3 linked regions of the Sus scrofa genome follow. The protein of the gene in region 3 purifies or fractionates together with the protein of the main gene of each other region. This does not show direct contact. Links are inferred from orthologs where the notes say so. Each region holds a gene or a part of one and is shown on either strand. Other genes may lie near its edges. The genes, in order: STK35, PDIK1L and CTDSPL2.

What was found.
Region 1: the proteins of CTDSPL2 (region 3) and STK35 purify together in Homo sapiens (affinity purification with mass spectrometry; 3 studies listed by BioGRID and IntAct, counting the BioPlex papers as one, with this or other methods). This does not show direct contact. The link is inferred for Sus scrofa from reciprocal best matches to the Homo sapiens genes CTDSPL2 and STK35.
Region 2: the proteins of CTDSPL2 (region 3) and PDIK1L purify together in Homo sapiens (affinity purification with mass spectrometry; 4 studies listed by BioGRID and IntAct, counting the BioPlex papers as one, with this or other methods). This does not show direct contact. The link is inferred for Sus scrofa from reciprocal best matches to the Homo sapiens genes CTDSPL2 and PDIK1L.

What each region holds. Positions count from the first base shown.
Region 1 is NC_010459.5:33,410,495-33,414,801, reverse strand, and holds the start of STK35 (serine/threonine-protein kinase 35), read left to right. Parts: upstream 1-1,476; 5' UTR 1,477-2,582; coding exon 2,583-2,888; intron 2,889-3,474; coding exon 3,475-4,075; intron 4,076-4,307.
Region 2 is NC_010448.4:83,541,228-83,545,643, reverse strand, and holds the start of PDIK1L (serine/threonine-protein kinase PDIK1L), read right to left. Parts: upstream 2,900-4,416; 5' UTR 2,819-2,899; coding exon 2,254-2,818; intron 1,906-2,253; exon of another isoform or gene 1,758-1,905; intron 1-1,757.
Region 3 is NC_010443.5:127,055,800-127,059,429, reverse strand, and holds part of CTDSPL2 (CTD small phosphatase-like protein 2), read left to right. Parts: intron 1-313; coding exon 314-529; intron 530-3,630. UniProt on the Homo sapiens protein: Probable phosphatase.

The sequences.
Region 1 (4,307 bases), on a different chromosome or scaffold from region 3:
CACAGCTCACGGCAACGCTGGATCCTTAACCCACTGAGCAAGGCCAGGGATCGAACCCGCAACCTCATGATTCCTAGTCGGATTCGTTAACCACTGAGCCACGACGGGAACTCCCCCACAATGTCTTATTTTCTATGTCAGCCCCTCAAAGGCCGGGGCCTACGGGAAGGGCCTAAAGCCTCCCTGCTGCTCCTGCCCTTTTCTTCCATGTCTCCTGCAACTATTGTGTTCCAGTCATGTCCAGCGCATGTGAGGCTCCAGGGAACTAGGCATAGGCATGTTTGCTGACAGGGAAGCCGAGGAAGAAGGTCCTACATGTTCACATAAATGCCCGCCATTAGGGGGGGCTGAGGGGGGTAAGACAGTGTGAAGAGCCTGGGGTCTCAGTTCAAATCCCAGCTAATCAAGCTCCTCCCTTTAGCCTCTTCATCTGTAAAATGGGGCTAAGAACAGTACCTCACAGGCATGAGAATTCTTTGTTACCTTCTATGCCTGACAGAAAACTTTAATGAATGTTGGCTATTGGTCATAAGAATAAGAACAGATTACCACTGTAACTTAAACCAGGAGTTCCCATCGTGGCTCAGTGTTTAACGAATCAGACTAGTATCCATGAGGACCTGGGTTTGATCCCTGGCCTCACTCAGGGGGTTAAGGATCCGGTGTTGCTGTGAACTGTGGTGTAGGTGGAAGACTCGGCTCAGATCCCGATTGGACCCCTAGCCTGGGAACTTCCATATGCCGTGGGTGCAGCCCTAAAAAGACCAAAAAAAAAAAACCCTACAAAATACACACACAAAAAAATTGTCCAGGAGTTCCTGTTGTGGCTGGTAGAAACCAACCCGACTAGTATACCTGAGTTAATTAACGGCCTTTCTAGATTAAAGGAAACTAAAGCGACATGACAACTAAATGCAACATGTGTTCCTCATTGGCTCCTAGAGGACAGCTATATTACTGGGACAATAGCAAAATTTAACTATGGAAGTTGTATTAAATCATATTATTGTTAAAGTTCTTGATGTTGATCATTGTACTGAAATTTTGCAACAGAATATCCCTGTTTTTAGGTAATACACACAGAAGTAGTTAGGAATTAAAGAGCATGATGTCTGAAACAAAGTGTTTTTTTGGGGAAAAAGTACATATATATATTGCATATAATATATGCACAAACATATACACAAGAGAGAATGTGATAATGCAAGTAGTAAAATATAAAAAATTATTATGACAATTTTAAAAGTATATGAGGGCGTTCCCGTGGCTCAGCGGTATTGAACCCAACTAGTATTCATGAGGACGCAGGTTGGATCCCTGGCCTCACTCAGTGGGTTAAGGATCCGGTGTTGCCGTGAGCTGTAGTGTTGGTCACAGATGTGACTTGGTTCCCGAGTTGCTGGGGTTGTGGCATAGGCCAGCAGCTGCAGCTCTGATTCAACCCCTAGCCTGGGAACCTCCATATGCTGCGAGTGCAGCCCTAAACAGCAAAAAAAAGTTTTTCAGTGACCACACTAACAGAAGTGGCTTGACCGCAACCCTCAGGCACTGTTTAGCTTATTCTTCTCCTTCGTTACACACTAATATTGTCAAAAAAAGACCCTGGGTATTAGCTTATTTAATAGTATCTGATAGTTAATGTGTGCAAAGCCTGACCTAAGTGCTTTAACCATCTACCCTCAGTGGATTCTCCAACTACTATTCTTCTCATATTACAGATGAGGACTAGAGACACCATAACGTTAATTAATGGTGTTCCCTGGTGGTCTAGCAGTTAAGGGCTCAGAGTTGTCACTGCTGTAGCTGGGGTTATTCCTGTGGCCAAAAAAGTTTACTTGTGCAAGGTCACCCATATGATTCCATGAGGCACAGAACCTCAACTAAGGTAGAGACTGTCTTGTTCACAGCTCTTTCCCTGGCAATTTAGAACAAAAACGGTGCCTAACATATTATAAGCACTCAATAAATATCTAGATTCAGTTAACAGATATAAGGCATCTAGGAGGCATTGGAGTACAAAGCAGTGAAAAAATATTTAAAAATTCATGCCTAAATGGAGCTTACATTGAACGCTCTCAGGCCTGCACCCAATTAGCCACCCTAGATATAAATATGTACGTGTATGTACATTTCATTTGGTGCTATCAACCCTGAAAATTAGGGCCTACCCACTTTGCAGAAGAGTAAACTGAGGGTCCAAGTGGGGCAATGTTTTGCCCAGGATCCAGGGGCTTAACAGGAGGCAGGGCTCTAGATTCCAACCCAGACCGGGCGGTTCCCAGGCAATCCTTATGCATTAATCAAACCGACCAATCCAATCACCCAATCAGTGTTTATTTGGGCCTACTGCGTGCAGCTCCTCTTCCAGCGCAGGCCAGGAAGGGAGGAGGTTGTGCTGCGCAGGCGGCTTCGGAGACCGGGGAGTTACAGCCAGATCGCGGGAATTTGGCGCCCATTTTCTGCTGGTTAGGTGTTCTAGCCTGTGATTGGGCCTCGGCGCGGCGTGAGTACGCCCGGCTGCGGCTGGTCGGCCGACCTTGGCAGGACCCAGGCGGCGCGGTACTCTTCCGGCCTCCCGGGGGATGGGCCACCAGGAGCCCCCGCTGGCCCGAGTGCGGGCCGGACGTGAGGCTTATATAAAAGGGTTACGTAAAGGGCTCAGCTGGCGCGAACACGTGGAGAGCCGCGGGAGCCCCTACGCTCAGTTCTCCCCCGAGAGCGCCGCTGCCATCACCCGTGCGGCCGCAAGCTCCATTGCACGCTCGGCCCGGGCCAACGCCTCTCGCGCCGCTCCGTACCGGAGGCAGCCCTGGCCCGGAGCGGACCATCCCCAACCCGGGGCCTTAGAGGGGAAACGGGCTGCCCGGAAGTGGAAAGGAGCCGGCCAGGTAAGGGTGCGGTCCGCGGAGTAAAAGCCAGCAGCCAGCCGGGGCGACCCCGGAGCCTCCTGGGCAGAGCAGGAGGGCCCCCAGATTAGCGCGCTCAGGAACGCCGAACTTTTAAGGCGACTCTTTCCACCCGCAGCCTTTCGGGACTTGGGTCGGTCCGCGGGGATCCGTTCGAGCTTAATTCAATGGACTGTTTACACCCGGGAGAACACAGGGAGGGACGCGGGGAGGGGCATCCCAGAGGGAGCCGAGCGGGGGAACCAGATCTCCACAGGCCGATTTGGCGCTTAAGGCGATTTTCTTAAGTCACGACCGCTGCAGGTCCTTGTTTTTCGTATTGTTATAGGATAAATCAACTGAACAGACGAGGAGGTTTTGCTTTTCTTTCCGGCTCCCCCTCTGAGCCATTGCCCCGTGGTTTCGTCTTTCCCGCTTTCCCCTCCCTTCCCCCGTTCAGTCAGCCGCCGTGGCTTCCGTCTTAAAGGGGCCGTGGCGGCCGGAGGAGGAGGAGGTGGGACGCCTTGCGGCCTACGCTCCTTGCCTCCCCGCCTCGGCCTGCGCGTTTAACCGGTTCTTTCGCCCACAGGTCACAATCCAAGGTCCCGATCCTCCGCGTCCCGGGGCCGGACGGAGGGATGAGGCAGGGGGGGCCCGGGCAGCGCCGTTGCTGCTCCCCCCGCCGCTCGCAGCCATGGAAACGGGGGAAGAGGACGGCGCCCGCAGAGGTACACAAAGCCCCGAGCGGAAAAGGCGAAGCCCAGTGCCGCGGGCGCTCAGCGCGAAGCTGAGGCCGGCGGCGGCGGCCCAGGCCATGGATCCGGTGGCGGTCGAGGCCCCGGGCGAGGCCTACCTGGCGAGGCGGCGGCCCGAGGGCGGCGGCGGGTCAGCGCGGCCGCGCTACAGCCTGCTGGCGGAGATCGGGCGCGGCAGTTACGGCGTGGTGTACGAGGCAGTGGCCGGGCGCAGCGGGGCCCGGGTGGCGGTCAAGAAGATCCGCTGCGACGCCCCCGAGAACGTGGAGCTGGCGCTGGCCGAATTCTGGGCCCTGACCAGCCTCAAGCGGCGCCACCAGAACGTCGTGCAGTTTGAGGAGTGCGTCCTGCAGCGCAACGGGCTAGCTCAGCGCATGAGCCACGGCAACAAGAACTCGCAGCTTTACCTGCGCCTGGTGGAGACTTCGCTCAAAGGTAGGGGCGTCTCGGGCCGCCTTGGCTACTCAGGGCCTGGACCCACGAATCCGGTGGGCTCTGCTCAAAGTGACCCCAGGACCTCTTACCTAGACCCTGGTCTTGGCCCTGTCACTCTGAACCAGACACACCCTCCTTTCCAAGCCAAGCATTTGGGCTGTCCTCTCAGCTCAGGATCCAGGATCCGGGATCCGTTCTCAGCACTGTCGTTAGCTGGTATTTTCATAACAAA
Region 2 (4,416 bases), on a different chromosome or scaffold from region 3:
ATCCTCACAACAGCATTATGAGGTAGATACTATTATGGTCCTTTTATAGATGAGGAAACTAAAGCACAGAGAGTTTAAGCAACATGCCCAATGTCAAACAGCTAGTAATTGGTGGGCCTGGGATTTGGAAAGCAGACCATCTGGCTCTGAAATTCTTAATTTTAACCACTACACTATACTGTCTCTTTCATGAACTGCTTCAATACATCACTGTTTAAAATAAATTTAAAAATTCAGCATTATTATTTACTGATCATAAAAAAACAAACAAAACTCCAGCTTCCCCTGAAAACTGACACACACATAAAAGGCCATAAAAATGGCAAAACCAAAACCAAACCCTCAGAGTTATAAATACAAACACCTGGCTTATGCTTAGGGACTGAAAGTGAACCAGATCACAGAAGTGAAAATGTGTAGTTGTTATTATTTAAAAGTAAATAGTCAAACTGTATATGTTCCTAGGTTAATTTTGTTTATGTTATTTCCTTATTTCTTGCAAAAGGAAAATAACATTTGTGGAGAAAAATGTTCCTTTAAAGATATAGTAAGCTACTTAGAATATGATTACCTTTCTGTTGTTGTTTTAACGATAGCTATTCAGATCTAGGTCATTTTTCCCAGCGAAATCTGTCTTGCAAATTAAGGGGCTCTCCGAGGGAGTTCTTTGGAATTAAACTTGATAAACTATTTAAAGGCAAGAGCAAAGGCCCTACACGGAAATGCTCACGTGTTGAATCAAGAGTGTCTAAAGTGTGCCTCCTCACGCTCCAAAGGATGTCAAAATTCTAACGAGCTTCAGGAATAAATTCTCATTTGTAGACTGCCACCATGGGCAAGAAAAGTCACCTGAGACTGTACAATTTTTACACTGTACAGTCTGTGGGAACAAAAAGCTGTTGACACTAGAACCTGAGAAGTTAGGATCAGCTACTTTAAGTCTGTAGGATAGATTTAATAAAGAAAACGAAAGCTTCTGAGATTGCATCTTAATCCTACTTCCTCTCACTGGACACCCACTCATCAAATTCCTACTCTATTTCCAAGCATCTGATTTCCTGCCTCGGAGTCCTCTGCCCCAACTACACAGTGGACATGCTTTCCTGCTCTCCGTGGATCGCCAATTACTATCCATCTCAAAGGGGCTCGTGTTTTTGAAGCCGACCCACATCCTCACACGAAAGAGCACCTGAATAAGGGGGAGGAGGTGTTTATGAAATCCTTGAGATCCGGGGTCAAAACCTAGCACGGTGAAGCATCCCGGGAGAACCTTGGTAATTTACGACGGCATCTCCCGGCCCTCGCGCCTGCCGGGCGCACGCAGCCCCGGACGCGGGCAGGCCAGGCAGTACACCTGCTGGCGCCCGGGAAGGGCCAGTCCTGGGCAGAGGTGCTGCCAGACGCGGCGGCTCAGGGCCCCGCTCATTGGCCAAGTATCAGGCCCTCCCCCTCCTCGGCTGCGTCCAGCTGAAACCCGGAGGGGATCCTCCAGGGGCCCTTCACCCCGAAGAGCCGGTCCTGCAGTTGTCCCTACTTCTCGGGGCCGGCGGCTGAGGCCCGGGACCACGGGAATTAGAGGAGGCCGCAGCTGGGGCCGGTGGCCTGAGGGGTGCGGGCCGGAGGCCTGAGGTGCGAGGGGCCTTCCCCAGGATGACTGTGCTGACAGCCCTGTGACAGGACTCCTGGGGCCGGAGGCACGTGCAGGGCCTTCGGCTCTGCTTCAAGGCCTCTCTGCCAGGCCGAGGGGCCAGATTTACCTCAGGGTAGCCGCCGCCGCTTCTCCCTCTCACGGGCTCTGCAGGCCGCCATTATCGGGCAGCTCGCGCCTCCGCCGCCGCGGCCTCCAGTCAGAGGCCGGCGCGCGCCCCCGTGGTGCGCGCGGACACACCCCCTTACGCCGCGCGGCCCCGCCCCCCTCCGGCTTTCCGTAGCGCGAGCGGGGACGCCGAGCTCCAGTCCTATTGGGCGCGCGCCCGGCGCTCCGCTGGCTTCCTCCCGGCTCCCCTGGCTTTCAGGACACGGGAGTCGCGGAAGGGGTGCGCGCTCCGGAACGCACCACTCGTGCCCCTCCCCGCAGGGGTGGTCGGGCCCGGGAGTCGGAGGCCGCTCCATGCACGGGACTCGGTCGCCTTCCAGCTGCGGCAGGCTCGCACGGCCTGCGGTCCTGGGTGGTCCGCAGCAGCAGGTCCGGGCCTAGGGGTGCGTGCTGTCGGCGCCCTCCCCTCCCCCGCCCCGCCTCCATTCACGACCTACCGAGCTGCGGGCAGGTGTGCGGGGTCGCTGGGGTGGAACGCCTGGTGCATCTTCCTCGGCGCGGGCCTGAGATGCCTGCAGGATGCGGGCCTCTTCCGCGGGCTCGCGGGGAGGCACGGCCCGAGCTGGGAGGCCTGGCGTCCACCCCGCCGAGCGGGAGGCTGCACCTTTTGTCAGAGTCACTGAGCCATTTTTGCGGGCGGTGGAGTTGCCGAGGCAGCGGCGGCGCGGGGCTGGGTGCGATCATCTGGGAAGATGCAGTCCCCTGCCCCGCCGGCGCGGTGGTATCTCCCTTAAAGAAGCCGAAGCCGCATTGTTCCGGTGCCCGGCCGCCGCGAGTCACGGGCGCCCTGCCCCCAGTGGGGAGGAAGGGACCGTGGCGCCCGCACTTGGCCGTTGCCGCGCGCGCACGCCTACCCGGTGGCGGCACCCGCGGGCTCTTCGTGGAGGGTCGGCCTCCCCCACCCCCGCCCTGCGCATCTAGAGGGGGAGGCCCGGGTTGGCGGGAGCCGGGATTGACAGCGAAGACAGCCGTTCTTGGGGCCCGACGGTCAGCTTGAGTCATTGGGGTACCCGACAGCTGTCAGCCAAATCCAGGGAAGCGTTCACCTCATAGCCAGTCCGGGACTGTCACTTGCTCAGAGACCCGGACCAATCGGTCGTTCGATATTTTATCTGCCAGAAACCTTCATTCCTTCTAAACTGATTTATTCTGCACCAACTATTTGTCAATAAAGTGGCTAGTCCTCCTCCCAGTGCTGTACAAGGCACGATGTGCAAAGAATCCCTGCTCCTGCCCTCAAGAATCAACCAATTACCCATTTTATTTTCTGTCCTCCACTTATGCAGCTTCTCTGCAAAGTCTGGGGCTGGGTTAAGTCTTTAAATGTTGTCTCCTAATCCCAACCAAACCCCACAAGGACAGGCTTTATGACGAATCTTGCTTTTAGAGGTGAAAAACAAAAGCAAAAACGGATCTTTGTCTTATTTGGCGAAAGTTGTTTGTTTTGAGGGGGGAGCACCTGCCTTGAATACCCACTCAGCTGGTGTGACCCCTTTACCCCCGCCCCCAAAACCCCCTGCTCTGTAATCCCTTCAGGCTTTTGCCCTGAGTGCGAAGTGAGGTTAGCTGTCTCCTGGGAATACTGATGTAATCTAAGGCTTGCTTTCTACCCTTGAAAGTAGAGGAAAGGACTTCCCATTGTGGCTCAGCGGTTCAGAACGCAACTAGTATCCATGCAGATGTGGGTTTGATCCCTGGCCTCGCTTATTGGATTAAAGATCCACGATGCCCGTGAGCTGCAGCATAGGTCGAAGATGCAGCTTGGATCCCGGGTCACTGTGGCTGTGGTGTATGTAGGCTCACAGCTGCAGCTCCGATTTGACCCCTAGCCTGGGAACTTCCATATGCCTCAGGTGCAGCCCTAAAAAGCAAAAAACAAAAAAACTACAGGGAAAATAGAGGGCTCTGTGTAGATAGCCAGCTGGACACCTGTGGGGTAACTGATCAGAATCAGGGGAGGGGTGTCTCTTGGTCAAAGGAGCCTTGTCCTTTTGTTTGTCTCAGTTTGTCTCAGTCATTAAATACAGGAATTCCTCCTCTCAAGCTGGCTGCAGAATTTGGAATCCACTCCCCAAACCCCAAAGTTAAGAAACTGACTCTAAAGTCTGTGAGGTAGATGTTTAAATAATTTGGCATGTCCTCTTTAGGAAAAAGATTACAAAATGAACCCATTGCTAGGGATTTGGAAAGGGTCTTTGTAAGTGAGGGACTCTGAAACTTAAGCTTCAGAATAAATCTGCTCTGAAAATTACATTATATGAGTATGTTTGCCAATAGGCTTTCTACTAGACTGAGAGTTCCTGGGGACAGAAACTTTGTCTATGATTCATTTCTCCAGGCTCCTCTATCTGCCAAAATTATGGTGCCAAAATACTCCAGAGGATAGCATTGCTATACATTGCTGGTGGGGAGGCAAAATGATGTAACTCTAATTAAGGAAATTTAGCAATCTATGGCCACATTGCATATGTATTTACTCTTTCACCCAGTAATCCTAGGTCAAGGCTAAACTTCTAGGAATCTTTTTTAGTGATACATTGGCAAAATTCTAACCACTGTGTGCACAAGGCTATTCATTATGACATTTTGACAGCAAAAGG
Region 3 (3,630 bases):
TTGATGATTATAATACAGTGTTGTCTATATTCACTATACTGTGCATTAGATATCTAAGGATTATTTATTACTTGTTTTAATTTTGTTCCCTCCCATCTTGGAGTTTTCCTGTGGTTCAGTGGGTTAAGGATCTGGCGTTGTCACTGCAGAGAACTTGGATCACTGCTATGGTGCAGGTTCAATTCTGGGGATCTTCTGCTTGCCATGCATGTGGCCAAAAACAAACAACAACAACAAAAAGTTTGTTCCCATCTTTCCCCACCCACTGTGAGCTCTTAAATAATGATTAATGTACACCGAATCATGATTTCAGGAACATCAGGATCCGATTCCCCGGGACAGGCTGTGGAAGCTGAAGAAATAGTAAAACAACTTGATATGGAACAGGTGGATGAAATTACTACCAGTACTACTACATCAACCAATGGAGCGGCTTACTCAAGTCAAGCAGTTCAAGTGAGGCCATCAATAAATAATGGTTTAGAAGAAGCAGAAGAAACAGTTAATCGTGATATCCCACCCCTTACAGGTGAAAAAGATTCCTTATTTTTCCTTGTATACCTTCATAAATGGTTTACAAAAACACAGTATTTCTTTTTTTGTGTTTTTTTTTTTTTGTCTTTTGTCTTTTTAGGGCCGTACCTGTGGCATATGGAAGTTCCCAGGCTAGGTGCCAGGCCAGGGGTCAAATTGGAGCTGTAGCTGCCAGCCTGCACCACAGCTCATGGCAGTGCCGGATCCTTAACCCACTGAGTGAGGCCAGGGATCAAACCAGAGTCCTCATGGATGCTAGTCAGGTTTGTTAACCGCTGAGCCACAACGGGAACTGCAAAAACTATTTCTTAAGTAGGCAGATTAATTTCATAAATTTTTCTTTCTTGAAGTTAAGAAAGTTAAAATTGGAAATAAATCCTTCTCCCCCAAATCCAGTCATTTTGAAATTCAGTTTCTTAAAGGTTGTTTTGACTATATATCAGTCATTTTACAGTTTAATTATTTGTACCAATCTTACTAGTAGGGGAAATTTAACACAGCTAACAAAATAATATATTCATTAATATATTTATTATAATTACATCAGTCTTAGATCCTTGAGGTCTAAAGTCCCTGTGTAGAGGTAGTTCCATACCTTCAGATTTGTTTCATATATGGATGACATTCCCAAAGAAACTCTTGTTCCTAGATCTGTCCTTATACCCCAACTTTGCAACCCAGTCCTGGATCCTTTTAAAGGGCTAACATAATCATTGGGTCCCCAAGCCAGCCGTCATGGAAATGTAGAAATTTGAAATCAGAATTTATTACTTCGGAGGGTTATGGTAGATAGACATATAAGACTAAAAGATGAAAGTATGTTCCATTATGCTTAAAAACAGAAATAAAACTGAAGATGGACATCTTTTTTCAGAAGGAGATCTTAGGAGTTCCCATTGTGGTGCAGTGGAAACGAATCCGCCTAGGAACCATGAGGTTGTGGGTTCAATCCCTGGCCTTGCTCAGTAGGTTAAGGATCTGGTGTTGCCGTGATCTGTGGTGTAGGTTGCAGATGTGGCTCAGATCCAACTAGAAACCATGAGGTTGTGGGTTCGATCCTTGGCCTTGCTCAGTAGGTTAAGGATCCGGTGTTGCTGTGAGCTGTGGTGTGGGTCGCAGACGCGGCTTGGATCCCGCATTGCTGTGGCTCTGGTGTAGGCTGGTGGGTACAGCTCCGATTAGACCCCTAGCCTGGGAACCTCCATGTGCCATGGGAGTGGCCCCAGAAAAGGCAAAAGACAAAAAAAATAAATAAATAAATAGAGTTTGGCATTAGAAGTAAAATGATGATCTCTCGGATATAAAGAGGAAACTTAAAAAAATCATTGAAGCAGCAGAAAACATGTAAAGAAAAAATACATACAATTATGGAACTTCCATACAGTGCCACCCTATACCAATTTAAAGAGAAAAGCACCATAATAAAAAATTTTACGTTTGTGAAATATAAATATCCATAAACTATTATAATCTTATAGTTTAAGAGTAATAGTGAATCTCACAAGCAAATCAACATGAATAATGTTCTTGGGTTGAAAAGACTTGCAAATGAACCTATTGTTGACATATTATTTAATGCTGATTACTTTGTTTTTTTGTTTTTTGTTTTTTTGTCTTTTCTAGGGCCTCACCCGAGGCATATGGAGGTTCCCAGGCTAGGGGTCTAATTGGAGCTGTAGCTGCCCGTCCCATGCCAGAGACACAGCAACGTGGGATCCGAGCCGTGTCTGTGATCTACACCACAGCTCACGGCAACGCCAGATCCTTAACCCACTGAGCAAGGCCAGGGATTGAACATACAACCTCATGGCTCCCAGTCGGATTCGTTAACCACTGAACCATGACGGGAACTCCAACTGTTGATTACTTTGTTTAGTGTTACAGGCTATTGAGTGGTAAGATAAAGACTGAAGTCAGAGCTCTTGGCTTCTTATTTGATTTTTTTTTTCCTGTTTTTGTGCTTCTGGATAACACTTTGTATTATTTTTTCTGACAACTGTAAAGATGGAGAAGGGATTTCTGTAACTTTAGTTTCTAGAGAGGAAGAGATTTATTCCATTTGTCTTATTCATTTGCTTAACATTTTAATTAATCACTTATTTGTTATGTTGGACCCTGTTTATAAAGATAAATAAGATATGTTCATTGATCCTGAGGAGTATGTGATCTAATTGAGTTAAGTGTACACAAAAATTACTGTAAAGTGTAGTGAGTACTGTTACAAATAAATGAGTAAAATGTTGCAGTTACTCTAGGAGGCTTATGAGAGGAAAGAAAGAAAAGTTTTGCTGATCTTAAAAGATGACTCTTGGATTTCCTGGTGACATAGTGGTTAAAGATTTAGTGTCGTCACTCCTGTGGCTCAGGTTCAGTCCCTGGCTGAAAACTCCACATGCTTCAGGCCCATCTGCCTGCCTCTAGCGTTGGCACCCCACTCCCCAAAAAAGACGAGTGTTAGTGACAGAAGTGTTCCTTTTCCTCAACTTTAAGAATGTAGCCAAAAGGAACAAGAAGTAAGGGGGCCGGCTCTACCATTTACTTACTGTGTAACTTTTTAGAGATTTTAGAGATCAAATGAGATGAAGTATTAAAAATGTTTAGCACAGAATTACTAAAATACTAATTACTTCCTTTCTCCTTTTCTCCGAGGTTAATAGGAATCTGAAACAGTAAAGTGGTAGGAAGATGTTTTCAGTTTTTTCTCTTGTACTAGTGAACTGCTACTGGCATAAAATTGTTAGAGGTGAACGAAAATTCTGCTTTACATCTGTTGTCATTTATTGAACATAAATACTGTATTGGCTCTGTTTCAGAAAGTATGAATACATGATTATAACAAAAAGGGATAAGTTTTTGTCTCGAAAGACTATTATCTACCAGTATTCCATTCCCATAGACAGAGTACAGCAGTTTTTATTGAGGTTTACTCTCTTGGTCCTTTTGGGAAGCTCTAACAAACTATCATTAGACTATGTGGCATATAAGCAACAAAAATTTATTTCTCATAGTTTAGGAGGCTAGGAAATCTAAAGTCAAAGTCCCAGCATATTCACTGTCTGGTGAAGACCTGCTTTCTGGTTCATAGATAGCTGTCTT